Linked DNA regions of Astyanax mexicanus. The protein of the gene in region 1 purifies or fractionates together with the protein of each later gene. This does not show direct contact. Links are inferred from orthologs where the notes say so. Each region holds a gene or a part of one and is shown on either strand. Other genes may lie near its edges.

Evidence for each region.
Region 2: the proteins of F-box/LRR-repeat protein 12 (region 1) and styx purify together in Homo sapiens (affinity purification with mass spectrometry; 4 studies listed by BioGRID and IntAct, with this or other methods). This does not show direct contact. The link is inferred for Astyanax mexicanus from reciprocal best matches to the Homo sapiens genes FBXL12 and STYX.

The regions. Positions count from the first base shown.
Region 1 is NC_064426.1:629,753-636,991, reverse strand, and holds the start of F-box/LRR-repeat protein 12, read left to right. Parts: upstream 1-4,084; 5' UTR 4,085-4,132; coding exon 4,133-4,209; intron 4,210-4,973; coding exon 4,974-5,049; intron 5,050-5,486; coding exon 5,487-5,711; intron 5,712-6,631; coding exon 6,632-7,239. Other genes in the region: leprotl1 (leptin receptor overlapping transcript-like 1), read right to left, coding at 1-49, 213-288, 2,607-2,622. UniProt on the Homo sapiens protein: Substrate-recognition component of the SCF (SKP1-CUL1-F-box protein)-type E3 ubiquitin ligase complex.
Region 2 is NC_064421.1:3,369,072-3,376,326, forward strand, and holds the start of styx (serine/threonine/tyrosine-interacting protein), read right to left. Parts: upstream 3,274-7,255; 5' UTR 3,083-3,273; coding exon 3,023-3,082; intron 801-3,022; coding exon 768-800; intron 685-767; coding exon 631-684; intron 1-630. Other genes in the region: ros1 (proto-oncogene tyrosine-protein kinase ROS), read right to left, coding at 6,589-6,782. UniProt on the Homo sapiens protein: Catalytically inactive phosphatase. Acts as a nuclear anchor for MAPK1/MAPK3 (ERK1/ERK2). Modulates cell-fate decisions and cell migration by spatiotemporal regulation of MAPK1/MAPK3 (ERK1/ERK2).

The DNA.
Region 1 (7,239 bases):
GATCGGAGACAGGATGTAGAAAAACAGCAGGAAGAGAGGCCAGTACTCACTACAGAGAGAGAGAGACAGAGAGAGAGAGAGAGATGGTCGATTTTTGTACTACTGATTTGTGCCTTGCGAGAAGTGCAATAATCTTGAAATAAACTTTTTACTGGAAGTAGACTGGCTTTATATAAAGTTCTGTAAAGTTTACGTTCTTATAAATCACTCACTTATAGACGGGCAGAGCACAGCCGAGCATCAGGAACATCAGGCCGATGGCTCCACCGAAAGAAAGGCCGATCAGTGCTGGAGAAACAGAGAAGAGAAGAAACAATGACTGTTAGGTTATGTTCACATGGCTGGTCAAAGTTTCCCAAATCTGAGGAAAATGTATGATTAGAATAGCACTGCTGAGGTAAATGTATGATTAGAATAGCACTGCTGAGGTAAATGTATGATTAGAATAGCACTGCTGAGGTAAATGTATGGTTTCCACATATTTGGTTCAGATCACCCTTTGCAAGCAAACTTTTAAAATGTCTTGTGTATTTTGTACTGAGCCTTGGCTGAAAGTTTTATTTTGTGTGTTTTTAGTTTCAGACGACGCTGGTTTTTATTATTGCTTTATTAACTGCTATCAGTGCTAATTTTAAATAAATACACAAATGGATTTTATCAGTACTGCAGATCTTCTGTACCTGGAAAACTTTTCTGTACAGAAATAACTTCTAACCTTAATCTAACACAACTAATCCAGCTAATCAGAGCCTTCAGCTATAGGTACAGGAGAGAGAGACACAGAGAGAGAGAGAGAGAGAGAGAGAAGGGTAGAGAACGAGAGAGAGAGAAGGCGCAGGATCTCAGCCAGTTTAGAGGAGGGTCTGTATAACTTAAAAAACAAAACAAAAAAAAAACAATTGCAAAGTTTTCTTATTTTGTAAAGTTTTGTAAAGTTTTGCATTGTATTGCTGCTCTCTTTTTTTCTGAGGTCTACCCACAGATGTTGTTTGATGTTCTGGTTGGAAAACTGAGGACTGTGGTAGAACTTGGAACAGTTCTTTATATATTTGCATAAATAAATTGATGAAATTACTGTAGAAATTATAGGGATAGACACTTTTCTATCATCCCCACGATATTTAACCTCATATCGCACAGCACTAAAAAAAAGAGGACATTTAAAAGAGCTGATTTATGATTTATGAGTTTAAACACCCATTCACATTAACACAGAAGGCAGAAACGTGCCAGACTTCCAGAATCCACTGTGATAAAAATCACATCTGTATATTTGATTTTTATTAAATACTTGATGTTATAAAGCTTTTATCCTGAAGAAAATGTGTGCAACCAAATCAAATGAGATTTTTTGAGAGGCTTAAACTACCTTAAATTCTTAATTTATCACGTTTATTATCTATATATCTGGATTCTGAGCAGTGTTATCATCACACATCACATTATTTCAGTATCATACAACCCATAATATGACTTTCTGCACCCAAAGCTTACTGAGAATTCTCTCATATGATCGGTCATATGATCTGCCCCCACTGGGACTACAGGGAAGGAGGCAGACTAAATAAATACACTGTAAAATACACGAATTTAAACTAAATTTTACAATAAAACAAGTAAATGATGTTACATGCACTAAATCACCAATGTATTTAATATATATTAATCTATTCATTAAATAATTAGGTAATTAATGATTGATTAATAGCATTTTAAACATGTTTACTGCATCAGCTCACACAGTTGCTCTATGTTTCTACATTATCTGCTTTATTTAAAGCTTTAAGTGCTATTTATTACACATTACTACAGTAATATATTTAAATATTATTAATATTCATCTAAAAGTACTAATAACAACAAAGCAGCACCGCACTGCAGTCATGACGAAGCTAAAGTTGGCTCAGTATCCTAATTCCCCAGTTCCACCTTAAAACACCAGTATATGCACTGTAAACTCGAGCTGTCCACAATACAAAGCGCTGCACTATTTAAGGTGGACCGGTAATAATACTGAGAGTACAGCGCAACAACTCAAGCTGCATATTATTGTGTAGCGTTATAATCTAACCGCGAGCTGCAGCGTCATATAATAATAATTAAACTTAATAAACTCATTATTGTTAAACACAATACATGTTCATTAACATTATTTTGTTTTGTCCTCATGACGAGGCTAAAGTTGCGCGAGAATGCTAACTCTGCAGTTCCACCTTAAAAGCTGCTGTGGTCACACAGTGACGCCCGAACTGTTCTAATACAAAGCGCTGCACTATTTAAGGTGGACCGGAAATAATAGAGCTAACTGAAGTCAAATATTTCTGTGTATAATCAAACCCTGAGCTTCAATGTTGTATAATAATAGTTATATCTAATCATTAATGATAAATACATGTTAATTAAGGTGATTTGTTGTCTAAAAGAGCTATAAATCCAGCAGAACTGAGCCCCGGAGCCCGTTAGCCCGCAGTGCTAACCCACAGATACCGTTAGCTCCAGGAATAAAGCGGCCGCAGCGCTGCAGCAGCTACAACTAAATAAATAAAGCGCTAATTCACTGCACTTTAAACTGCAGATAAACAGTAATAATCCGCTCAGTTTCTCACCTTTAATCCCAGCCATGATTTACAGCGGTAATTTCAGGAAAGATGTAAAATCTCCGGCCGCGCAGTCCGACCCGACAGAACACACTCACACAGTAACAATACCGCGCCTGCAGGGGGCAGCAGAGACCCGCGCGCAGACCGCAGATCTACAAATCATCTTTAGGTGGAGGCCTCATGTTTGTAGATCTGCGCTGCGTGCAAACAAAACTCCAAATATTTACTGTAATACTGTATAAGCCCAAAAAGATCAGCAGCGAATTATTTTCATACTATTGATACTATACTACCATACTATTGATTTTTATTCCCGACTCTGTATTTTAATTAACTTTAATTATTAAGTAAATTTCAATATTTTCACGTCATTATTTATAAATCTCTATTTTTTGAAACACTAAAATACTCCAAAAAAACAACTCAGTATCTCAGAAATAGTTAAATAATTTTGGAAAATAATGAAAGCAATTTATTTTTTAAGAAAAAAAACTTATTTAGGTGTCGGGAACTGGATTCAATAGTAAAACAACAGTTTAATTTAATAAAATATTAGAACATTTGAAAAAAACGTGTTGTTTCTGAGTTAGTTTCCTTTACTGTGTATTACTGTATTGTTTTTATTAAAAAATATATGTAAGTATATTTGTTTTCTTTTTTCTATGTATTTCTATCGGCGTCTCTCTCCCCTCCATCACGGACATTTACACCACCCGCAGCATCCACAAAGTAATCAGCATTGTGAATGACCCCACTCATCCCTCACACGAACTGTTCTCCCTCCTGCCTTCGGGAAGAAGGTACCGCAGCATCCGGTCCAGCACGACCAGATTCTGCAACAGCTTCTACCCCCAAGCCATCAGACTCCTCAACTGCAGAGACTGAACTGATGGTTTTTCTGTACATGCGCACACACTCTTACCCCACTTACCCCAGAAAATGGAAAGCACTAAAAACCCTACTACCTCACTGGACTCTATTGCACACTGTGTAATAGAGTAATTACTACCTCACTGGTCTTTTTTGCACACTTTTTGCACACTGCATAATTTGCACACTGTCTTGTTATTTATTATTCTTTGTCTGTATTGTGTTGTATTGTCTGTCTGCACTTTTTGTACTGTTGCACTATTGTTCTGTCTACACTGTGTTTATGTGCACCATGGTCCTTGGAGGAACGTTGTTTCGTTTCACTGTGTACTCTGTATATAGCTGAAATTACAATAAAAAACACTTTGACTTTGACTTTATTTGCATGCCCAGTAGGGGGCGGAATAAATCGCTGTGTGGAGTCTGCCTTCAGTTTTACTGAAGAATGAGAAGATAAAAAAATAAAAGTCTGTTTTAAACAAATAAATATAACAATGACGTGTTTTTCGCCAATGTATAATTATACTATTCGGCTCTGTTATTTTTTCCTGTTATAATAGTAATTATAAAAAGCTGAATTATGATCTGATTTTGCAGCGATACGGGGACTTTTATGTGGTATATGAGTTGTGAGCGGTTCCGGCTTGTGAGCGTGTGGAAGGATGGATTGTTTTCCAGAGAATATTTTAATAGAGATTTTATCTTATTTAAGTATCAGAGAGCTTCTCCGGTCCGCCAGGTAATATACCCTCACCTGTACTTACCTGTACACTCACCTGTACACTGCTTTACACTGTACACCATGTATTATTACAGGGAGTGAATGGGCTGCTGTACATCACTGTGCTGTGTTTACATTTCTAACAGAGCAGCTGTACTGTCTCTTACCTATTTAATATTATATTTAATCTTATATTTAATGTTTATTTAATGTGTGTACTCTGTCTAATGGTAAGCTGTGTATCTGCTGATGGTTAGAGAACAGTTTAGCCTATAAAGATCTGTGTTGCTGTGTCTATGGAGCTGTTTGTTAACTTGTGGTTTCTGAGGCTGGTAACTCTGATAAATTTATCCTGTACAACAGAGGAAACTCTCGCTCTTCCTTTCATGGGATGGTCTTGATGAGTGCCAGTTCCATCATTATAAAGTTTTTGATATTCTTTGCTGTGATTTCACTTAAGGATGCTCTCAAAATTCTTGAAATTTTTATTTTCTTTATTTAGTTGAGTAGTTGTTTCTTCTCATAATCTGGATTAGAACATTACTCAAACATTCACTATTCACTGTATACCTGTAACTCTACCTCTTCACTACTTTACTTTAACTGATGCTCTCAAACACATTAAGAGACAAGAAATTCAAGTAATTAACTCTTGATGGGTTCAGCACAGCTGTTAACTGAAAGCCTGAATTCCAGGAGAATTCAAAGGTGTTTCCAAACTTCTGACTTTGAAAAAACCTTTAGACATTTATTAACAGGATCTTTATTATGCTCATACGCAGGGTGTGTAAGCGCTGGAGGCAGCTGGTGAAGGACCAGAGACTGTGGCGTAATGTAGATCTTTCAACATGGAAAGGAGTAAGAGCTTCACTATTCTATTCTATTCTGTTTTATACTTGTTTTAATGTATTCTGTTCTTTACTTACTCTGATAGTTTCAATTTCAGACTGCAGACCGAATGCACGAAAAAATGGGAGGGGTAGTTTGGAAGAGGCACTAGGTGATGTATGGGTTTAGGGGTGGGGCAGAAGGGAGAGCTGATTGGCTGAGCTGCAGCAGCAGCAATGGTGCCTCTAATAGTGGTAAGACTCAGATGGTTGGACGTCACCAGGGGGGCACTGTTATTTATTTATTGATTGATTTGCACCATCCTTACCTATAGCATAGATAAACCTGTGAGGGTTCAACTATGCTATAGGAAATGACCCCAAAAATTATTATTGTTATTAGTATTATTATTATTATTTTTTATTTACAAATTTTAAGCATGACTGGTTAAGTGTGTGTGTTATTAGATGACGTCGCGTGTGCTGTGGGTGTTGTTACGGCAGTACCTGGGGCGTGGGCTGCGGTACCTGCGTCTGCGTGGGCTGCTGCTGTCTGCGCGGGCCGGGGCGTTCCTGTCCGAGCCCTGGCTGCAGACTCTCTCCTCTAAATGCCCTCGGCTGTGCCGGCTCACCCTGCTGCACACCGACCTGCGCGGCCTGCGCAGCTGCTCCCTCCTCCCGCACACCTTACAGGTAAACCGCTCACCTCACCCACCACACCTGCAGCTCAGCGCAGCGCATAGTCCTACATTTCCCATGATTCAGTTCACACCCGTCACAGTGTTTAGGATATATTTAATATTAATCTTTCGCTTTTCACCAGGTGTTGTGCTGAATCGTGTCTCTCTGCCAGAATGCGTCTCTATTCTTCGGGCACAGGTTTGTATACTGCTGAGAGACGGATTTCAGCACAACACCTCTTCCTTTACTTCTTCTACTGTTTAATGATGATGATTACCCGAATCAACTTCCTGTAAGTGAATGTGAATGAAGTCCGAACCGTCCAATAAAGTGTTTATCTATTTTGCTTTGTTCTACTAGATGCTTAAGCATATATTTAATAATTATTCATGATGGATACTAAATAATATGAAGTGGATCCTGTATAACTCATATGGGGGAATCATGAATAATTAATAGTGGGTAGTAAATAATTCATAGTGGATATTAAAGAATTTGAATGGATATGGAATAATTCATATTTGGTATTGAATAATTCATAGTGGATCCAGTATAACTCATAGTAGATATTGAATGAATCACAGTGGTTCCTGTATAGTTCATAGTCTATAGTAAATCATTTATAGTAGATATTGAATAATTCATAGTGGATCCTGTATAATTCAAACTGAATCATGTATAGTTCATAGTGGATACAGTACAATTCATATTGGATGATGCATAATTTATACGGGAGCATGTATAATTCATTGTTGATAATTGATCATTTATAGTAGATATTGATTAATTCATAGTGGATACAACAAAAATCATAGTAGGTACAGGATAAGTAATAGTAGATCTAAATAATTAGTTCTGGATCATGAATAAAACATAGTGGCCACTATATAATTCACAGCGGATGGATAAAGCATTGTGTGTGTTTATTACAGGTGCTTGAGCTTCGTAGCTGCGAGGTCCCTCCCGGTTTCTTTACCCAGAATCCCCCTGGTTCACCAGAGCTGGACGGCCCCAAGCCGGCCGCGTCCAAAATCCACAGCAAGCCTCCGAAGTCTCCCTCCTTCTCGGGCATCAGCATCGAGACGCTGGTTTTGGACAACGTCCCGTCCTTCACCAACCAGCACCTGCAGAGCCTGAGCTCGTGGGCGCGGCTGAGCCGGCTGGAGCTGCGGGAGCTGATCCGGGTGACGGCGGCGGGACTGCGGGCGTGCGCCCCCCCCGGCCCCCAGGCCCTCGCCCGTCTCCGCCACCTGGAGATGGACACGGGGAACCGGCAGCAGATGGCGGCGCTGGGGCTGGGGGAGGGCTGGGCGGGGCTGGAGGGTTTGGGGCTGGGCGGGCGGGAGGTGAGCCCCGGTCTGCTGTGCCTGAGCCGCCTGCCAGACCTGCGCTGGCTGCGGCTGCGCAACTGCAGGCTGACGGAGATGATGGTGCTGCGCAGCTGCCGGACGCTGAAGGAGCTGCACCGGCTGGAGTTCTGGCAGGTGGAGTTTGTGACGGAGGGCAGGGGTGGAGGAGAGGCGGAGGGCGGAGGAGAGAA
Region 2 (7,255 bases), on another chromosome or scaffold:
CTTCACAGCGTCAACCAGCAGCTCAGTTTCCTCTGCTGAGAAGAGTTGTAAAATAGCAATTCACCAAAGTCAGAGCTCACCTGACTCTTAAAGGGAATGATGAGCAAGTGACACTCTGATTGGTTTATTTCACATTACGTCCAAAATTAACCACACCCATGATTAATTAAGAGAATTAGTACATGCCTTTTGCGTATTCCAATCCAGGCAGGGTGTACTTTTCCCATTGTTTCGATAGCAAAGACACACTGACGTACCCTAAATCAACAACTCGCCTATAGATCTCTAATACAGGACCCATTGCATTATACAGTAATAATTTACTATGTGCATACTTTTTGTTTTTTTAAATACATTTTTTCCACTAGCAGCACCAAAACCCTAAAGCATGATACATCCACCCCCATGCTTCACAGCTGGCATGAAATGCAGCTCCTGTTTGTTAAACCTAAGTAAGATTAATGCACCAATGCACCTTTTATGCAGGTCTTATCTTGCCCTTATCAGTCCTTTTACCATCCAGTCACTGTATTCAATTTACAGCAAAGACAAATTTAATGAACGTGAACTCTTGATGCACCAACAAAAGCTCAACCTTAACCAGCGTCTTTCAGCAAAAAATCATCTCACCTTGCTCTTCATTGCAGCTGAGTAGGGACCCAGAAAGAGGCCAGGGAGGATTTCCTACAAGATCAACACAAAATGCATTAAAAAATAAATCCATAAACAGCAGGAAATAAGGGATTAAAAACAGTAAGCTCACTCACCTGCATCTCTCTCCTCATTGGATACGACCAGTCCTGAAACAGAGGAGAAGATCAGTTAGGATGGCCAATTTCCCAATTTCCATTCATATGAAATAGCCCATCACAAGGGAGGCTTAGGGAGCATCTGACAAGTTCATGTCAGAAAAGAAAGCATCTGACTGATAGGAAAACACAGCTTAGGGAGGGTCTCACAAGCGGTGTGTCATATCGTATCATACGCAATAATATCGGCAACGTTTCTGAATATGGTGAACAATATTATACCCTGAAATATGGTGCCATATCACCCACCCCTAATTATCACATCAGGGTTCTACTTTTTTACTGTCTTATATAGGGAGTGTCTGAAATTATTACGTTAGTTAAAGCTCCACTATGTAGGATTGAGATTTTGTGCCCCCTACAGTTGCAGAGTGTAATAAATGTTTCAGACGGATTAGTTTCTCTTTCTCGTTTTCTTGCTTTCACAGACATATTCGGTCTCTTTCCAGCTTCTGCCAGTGTCTGTATGTTAGTTTGTAAAGAATGAACCAGTAGTCCTTGTAGAACTGTTAGAACTAAAGGTCGGAAAGCAGGTCGCAGTTCTCGCGAGCGTTGGTCGCGGCCGCCTCGGAAAACTCACAGAGTCTGGTTTGAGCTCAGAGGAGCTCCGGCACAGACACGAGAGCACCGCTATTCCTCCTATTACACCTCAATGCAGCGCTGCAGTGAGTTTCAAGCTGTAATTTTACTTCTTTAAAAAGATCAAAAATCAAAGAAATCCTACCTAGTGCTGCTTTAAGAAAGCGTCTGACTGGTACACAATACACAGTTTAAGGAGCATCTAAAGGGTACAACAAACCTCAACATCTTAGGGAGGGTCTGAAATGATTAAGTTAGTTAAGAAAGCCTCCGATTGGTACAAAAAAAAAAGAAAGCACAGTTTAGGGAGCGTCTAAAAATGGTACCACAAACCAACACCAACCTCCATACCTAAGAGGGTGTCTGACATGTTTAAGTGAGTTTAGAAAGCACTTGACAGGTATGAAAACACAGCTTAAGAAGCATCTGAAGGGTAAAACAAACTCAACTGACATATTCAATTTGTTTTGTAAGAACAAAAAATCTAAACTGTAATTAAGAATCACTGGAAAAAGGTAAGAGCTATACATTTTTCCCAGATGCACTGTAGCTACCAGTCAAAGCTGCCCACCCTTCCCACTCAATGTTTTTATTTTCTAGATTTTTCCTACATTATAAATGAATAGTGAAGTGATCTATTAGACTATGTAGGAACACATAATGAATCATGTAGTAACTTAAAAACAGTGTTAAACAAACCAAAATACTTTGTGAAGAAGCTTTTAGATACTCTTATATAAATGCTTCTTCGCAGAGTGGCCCTGATGAGTGCCAGTTTTATCATTAAGATAGATTCGATGGTCTTTGTGGTGACTGCACTTGAGGATATTTTCAAAGTTCTTGACATTCTTCTTTTCATAGCAACTTATTTTTTTCTTTATTTAGTTGAGTAGTTGTTGCTTCTCATAATCTGAATTAGAACATTACTCAAATATTCACTATTCACTGTATACCTGTAACTCTACCTCTTCACTACTTTACTTTAACTGATGCTCTCAAACACTTTATTAAGAGACAAGAAATTCTTGATCTAGCTTTAATATATTATATTAATTTTTACAATGTAACAAATCAAAAAAAGAAATTAAAACACATTCAATGGGATTGAATGAGGTGTGTCCAAACTTTTGACTGGTACTCCACCTGCTGTACAAGGGGGTGCATCTCTAAGATCGTACCTTTATACTAGTGAACCATTATAATTACACACAATACGTTAAATTAACTAACCTTAATTATGCACAGTGTGGGGGATCCCAGGAATGACTCTGGCAACCCCAGTTTTAAGATGTGCATTGTAATACTCCTACATAATCTCTAAGATTTTTAATGCTTTGATGTTTTTTTTTTAACAGTGAGCCATTTCACTTTAAGATACTATATCACAAAGCTAAAGTTGGCATGCAGTCCATTCCACCTTAAATGCAGTAACATTTAAGGTGGACTGGAGAATTTGGAGGAATGCAACTTCAGCCCTGCACTAGTTACGTGGCTTCCACCCAAAATAGCGAGCTGCATGACTTGCCAAAACAAAAGGACCACCTGAAGTGCTGATATTAGTGTTAATAGTGAGAATTAGAAGTAAATATTAGAGCTGAAATCTGTGAAATGTGATTTAATACAGTAAACGTTACCAGTTGGTCCTCCTTGCTCGCAGGGAGAGACGGGAACTGCAGTTTATTCCCCTCGTCCATGCCTCTCCTCACAATTACATCCGATATCCAGCGTTAAACGGCGCTCTCCCGGCCTGTAACCGGATTAAAAACAGGAATAACGCGCTGAACTACGAGCTCAAAACAGCCGGAGTTTGTTTAGGAGCGGCGCATGTGTCCGCCATGCTGCTCCTCTAGCAAATCACGTGACACACAGCCCACCGAGGGAGCGTCTGACATGTTCAAATCAGTTTAGAAAGCGTCTGACTGGGACGAAAAAACACACAGTTAAGGGAGGGTCTGACAAGTTCAAAACAGTTTAGAAAGCGTCTGGTACACGAAAACACACAGCTTAGGGAGCTTTCGAAAGCGTCTGAGTGATGCAAAAACACAGTTTAGGGAGCGTCTGACATGTTCAAGTCAATTAAGAAAGCGTCTGGTATTACAGCACGCAGTTAAGGGAGAGCTGACTGGTGCAATAACACAGTTTAGGCAGTGTCTGACATGTTCAAGTCAGTTTAGAAGGCGTCTGACTGGTACGAAAAAAAAAACACACAGTTTAGGGAGTGTCTAACATGTTCAAGTCAGTTTAGAAGGCGTCTGACTGGTACGAAATTCACACAGTTTAGGGAGTGTCTGACATTTTCAAGTCAGTTTAGAAAGCGTCTGACTGGGACGAAAAAACACACAGTTAAGGGAGCGTCTGACATGTTCAAATCACTTTAGAAAGCGTTGGGTATTAAAGCACGCAGTTTAGGGAGCGTCTGACATGTTCAAGTCACTTAAGAAAGCGTCCGATGGGTACAATGACTGTGAAATATTTTTTATAAAAAAATTATAGTCATTGATAAGAAAGCATAGCTTAGGGAGTGTCTGAATGGTACAACAATCCCCAACATCTTAGGGAGTGTCTGACATGTTCCAGTCAGGAAAGCCTCATGGTGAAGTCACTTTAGAAAGCGTCTGACTGGTCCTAAAGCACAGACCTTAGGGAGGGTCTGACATCCAATATATACAAAAAAACAATCTTAGGGTGTATCTGACAAGTTTAACTTTAGAAAACATGTAATAAGCAATAAACATCTTTAGAACAAAAATATTGTACAGTAAAATGTCCAGTCAGTTTAGAAAGCGATTGACTGGTATGAAAAAATACATTTAAGGATATGTTTAAGTTTAAGCACTTGAAGGGTACAACAAACCCCATGATTTTAGGGAGCGTCTTACTTGTTCAAGTCAGTTAAGAAAGCGTCTGACTGGTACTAAAGCCCACCGCTTAAGGAGCGTCTGGCATTTTCACGACAGTTTAGAAAGCGTCTGACTGGTACGAAAACAGTTTAGGGAGTGTCTGATTGGTACTAAAGCATACAGTTTAGGGAGTGTCTGATTGGTACTAAAGCATACACTTTAGGGAGCGCCTGACATGTTCACGACAGTTTAGAAAGCGTCTGACTGGTATAAAAAAAAGTTTAGGGAGTGTCTGATTGGTACTAAAGCATACAGTTTAGGGAGTGCCTGTTTGGTACTAAAGCATAAAGTTTAGGGAGCGTCTGACATGTTCAATGCAGTTAAGAAAGCGTCTGACTGGTACTAAAACACACTGCTTTAGGGAGCGTCTGACATGTTCAAGTCGGTTAAGAAAGTATCTGACTGGTACAAAAAACACACGGGTCTGACATGTTCATCTCGCTTTATAAAAACATCCAATATATACAAAAAAATGTGTCATTGATACGAAAATATAATTCATTAAATAAAGAGTATGATATGAAAAACTGACATATGAATGAAAAGGCATTTGAACATGAGTGTCCACACTTTTATTACAAAAATATAATAATTACATGTTTATACATTCTTTGAGTGCCCTGCATTACGCTTATATCGCTTATATATGCTTATAGGAAAAAAATATATTTCACAAAATGTGACTTGTAATATAAACGTAGTGTGGCGTGAGGAGGCGGGGGAGTTGTGGGTCCGCCCCACGCCAGAGCGCAAAGCCATGCCTGTCTCAGCTGGCCCGCATGAGGGCTGATTGAGCCGCCAGTTGAGACAGGCATATATACTCAGCCTCCGCCATCATTTGGGAAGAACTCTTACACTGGGGAGCTGAGGGCTGAGGCTGCACGGACTCGTATGTAGCATGTAAAAGTAAACTACGTAACTCTACAGACTCTAGAGCCCCACTGGGCGGTAGCTATGTTTAATTGAGTTATTCTGGGTGTGGTGGAGGGCGTTAAAAGCAAATAAAAGGTATGATTTGAGTTCATTTAATCCCCGTGTCTGTGTATCTCTGTGAGCTTCCTCCTTCCGGGTCACAGTGGTCACGCCCCTAACCCCAGGGGCCTACCACAGTAGCCAAAGTGAATCAATTCTGATTTGAAAAAAAAAAAAATGCGTTCACACAGCTATAAAAAAATCTGATCTGAGCCACATTGAGCAAAAAATCAGATTTGCGTCACTGCAGACTAGTACAAACTAACAGACAGTTTAGGGAGCGCCTGACATGTTCAAGTCAGTTTAGAAAGCATCTGACTGACAGAAAAAAACACAGTTTAGGGAGCGTCTGACTGGTACTAAGCCATACAGTTTAGGGAGGGTCTGGCATGTATAAGTCAGCTAGGAAAGCATCTGACTGGTAGGAAAACCAAGCTTAGGGAGCGTCTGACATGTTAGAAAGCATCTGACAGTTAAAACTATTTACTTTTAAGAGTATCAGAAATGTGCAAATCACTTTTGAAAGCAAATAGGAAAATAGGAACAAAATATATATTAGGGAGTATCTGTTATATTCAACTCACTAAATTAAATGTATGATAGAAATATATAAAAAAAAACATTTTAACATTTTAAAACATTTCTGACATATAAATGAAAATATATTTAAACATGGGTGTCCACATTTTATTAAAAAAATATCATAATTACATCTTTATACATTCTTTGATTGTTCTAAATTACACTTATATCTTGGTCTGACATGTTCATATGACTTTGGAAAGAATATTTTACTTAAAAAAACATTTTAGGTAGTGTTAAACATCTTATTTTAGAAAGCATGACAGTGAAAAACACATATTTACCATAGGGAGTGTCTGACATGTTCAACTTGCTTTAGAAAGCATTCAATATGCACGAAAACATATCGTAGGTATTTACTTTAGTATACATGCAGAGAAAACATGAAATAGGCACAAAAACATTAAACAACAAACAATATTCCTAAAACATTACTTTAGGGAGCGTCTGATGTTTAACATACATTTGAAAACATCTGATAAGCACAAAAACATATTTTTGGGAGTGTATGATTTGTTCAGCTCACTTTAGAGTGCATCCCATATGAAGAGAAAATGTTAGGGAGTGTCTGACATGTTTAATTCATTTTAGAAAACATTCGATAGGCACAAATACATACTTAGGGAGCGTGTGGCATGTTCAATTCTCTTTAAAAAGTGTTTGAGGGTCAAAAAGTCCAGTATTAAACAAAGCTTTTCATTATTTACAGGCTAAATATATATTTGGTCAGTCCTTTTATCCTTTTTTCATCTGTCCTCTGTAGTAGAGAAGTAATCTGTGGGACTGCTGTTGCTGCTGCTGCTGCTGTTTGTGTTTTCTGCCTGATCAGCTCGATACATCAGGTAGTTGAGGCCTTCATTGCTGAGAACATGAGTCAGTCCTGATCCCAAACCCTCGTCTGCATCCTCACCTCTACACTCTTCCTCCTCCTCTTCTTCCTCTGTAAAAGAAACAGACAGAAGTTAATGCGTGTGATTAATCTAATTTGACCACAACCTATTCCTGTAATTCACTCATTTTACAGAATCTGCTGTTGTATTAGCAATTTTTAGCTGTATTTAGCAATATAAACATGGTGATAGTGATTTACTAATAATGAGTTCAGAAGGTAGATAACTTCTTAATTGTGCTAATAGACGGATTAAATGTCTATCATGCACACACACACAGATTTGCTAGCAGGTTTTATTTACAGGTTGTTTCCAGGTTGTGAATGCGGAATATGGAGCTAGAGTTCATGTCCTTTATTAACACTCGCAACTCTTTTTGTCCCCCTTTCCCAATGATACAAAGAAGTTGTGAATAATACAATAATGACAGCATTAATATAAATATATGTGGGTTCGGGAGATTGCTATTTCGAATCCCGGTCATGCAGCGTGCCATCAGCTGCCGGAGCCCTAAGAGAGTAAA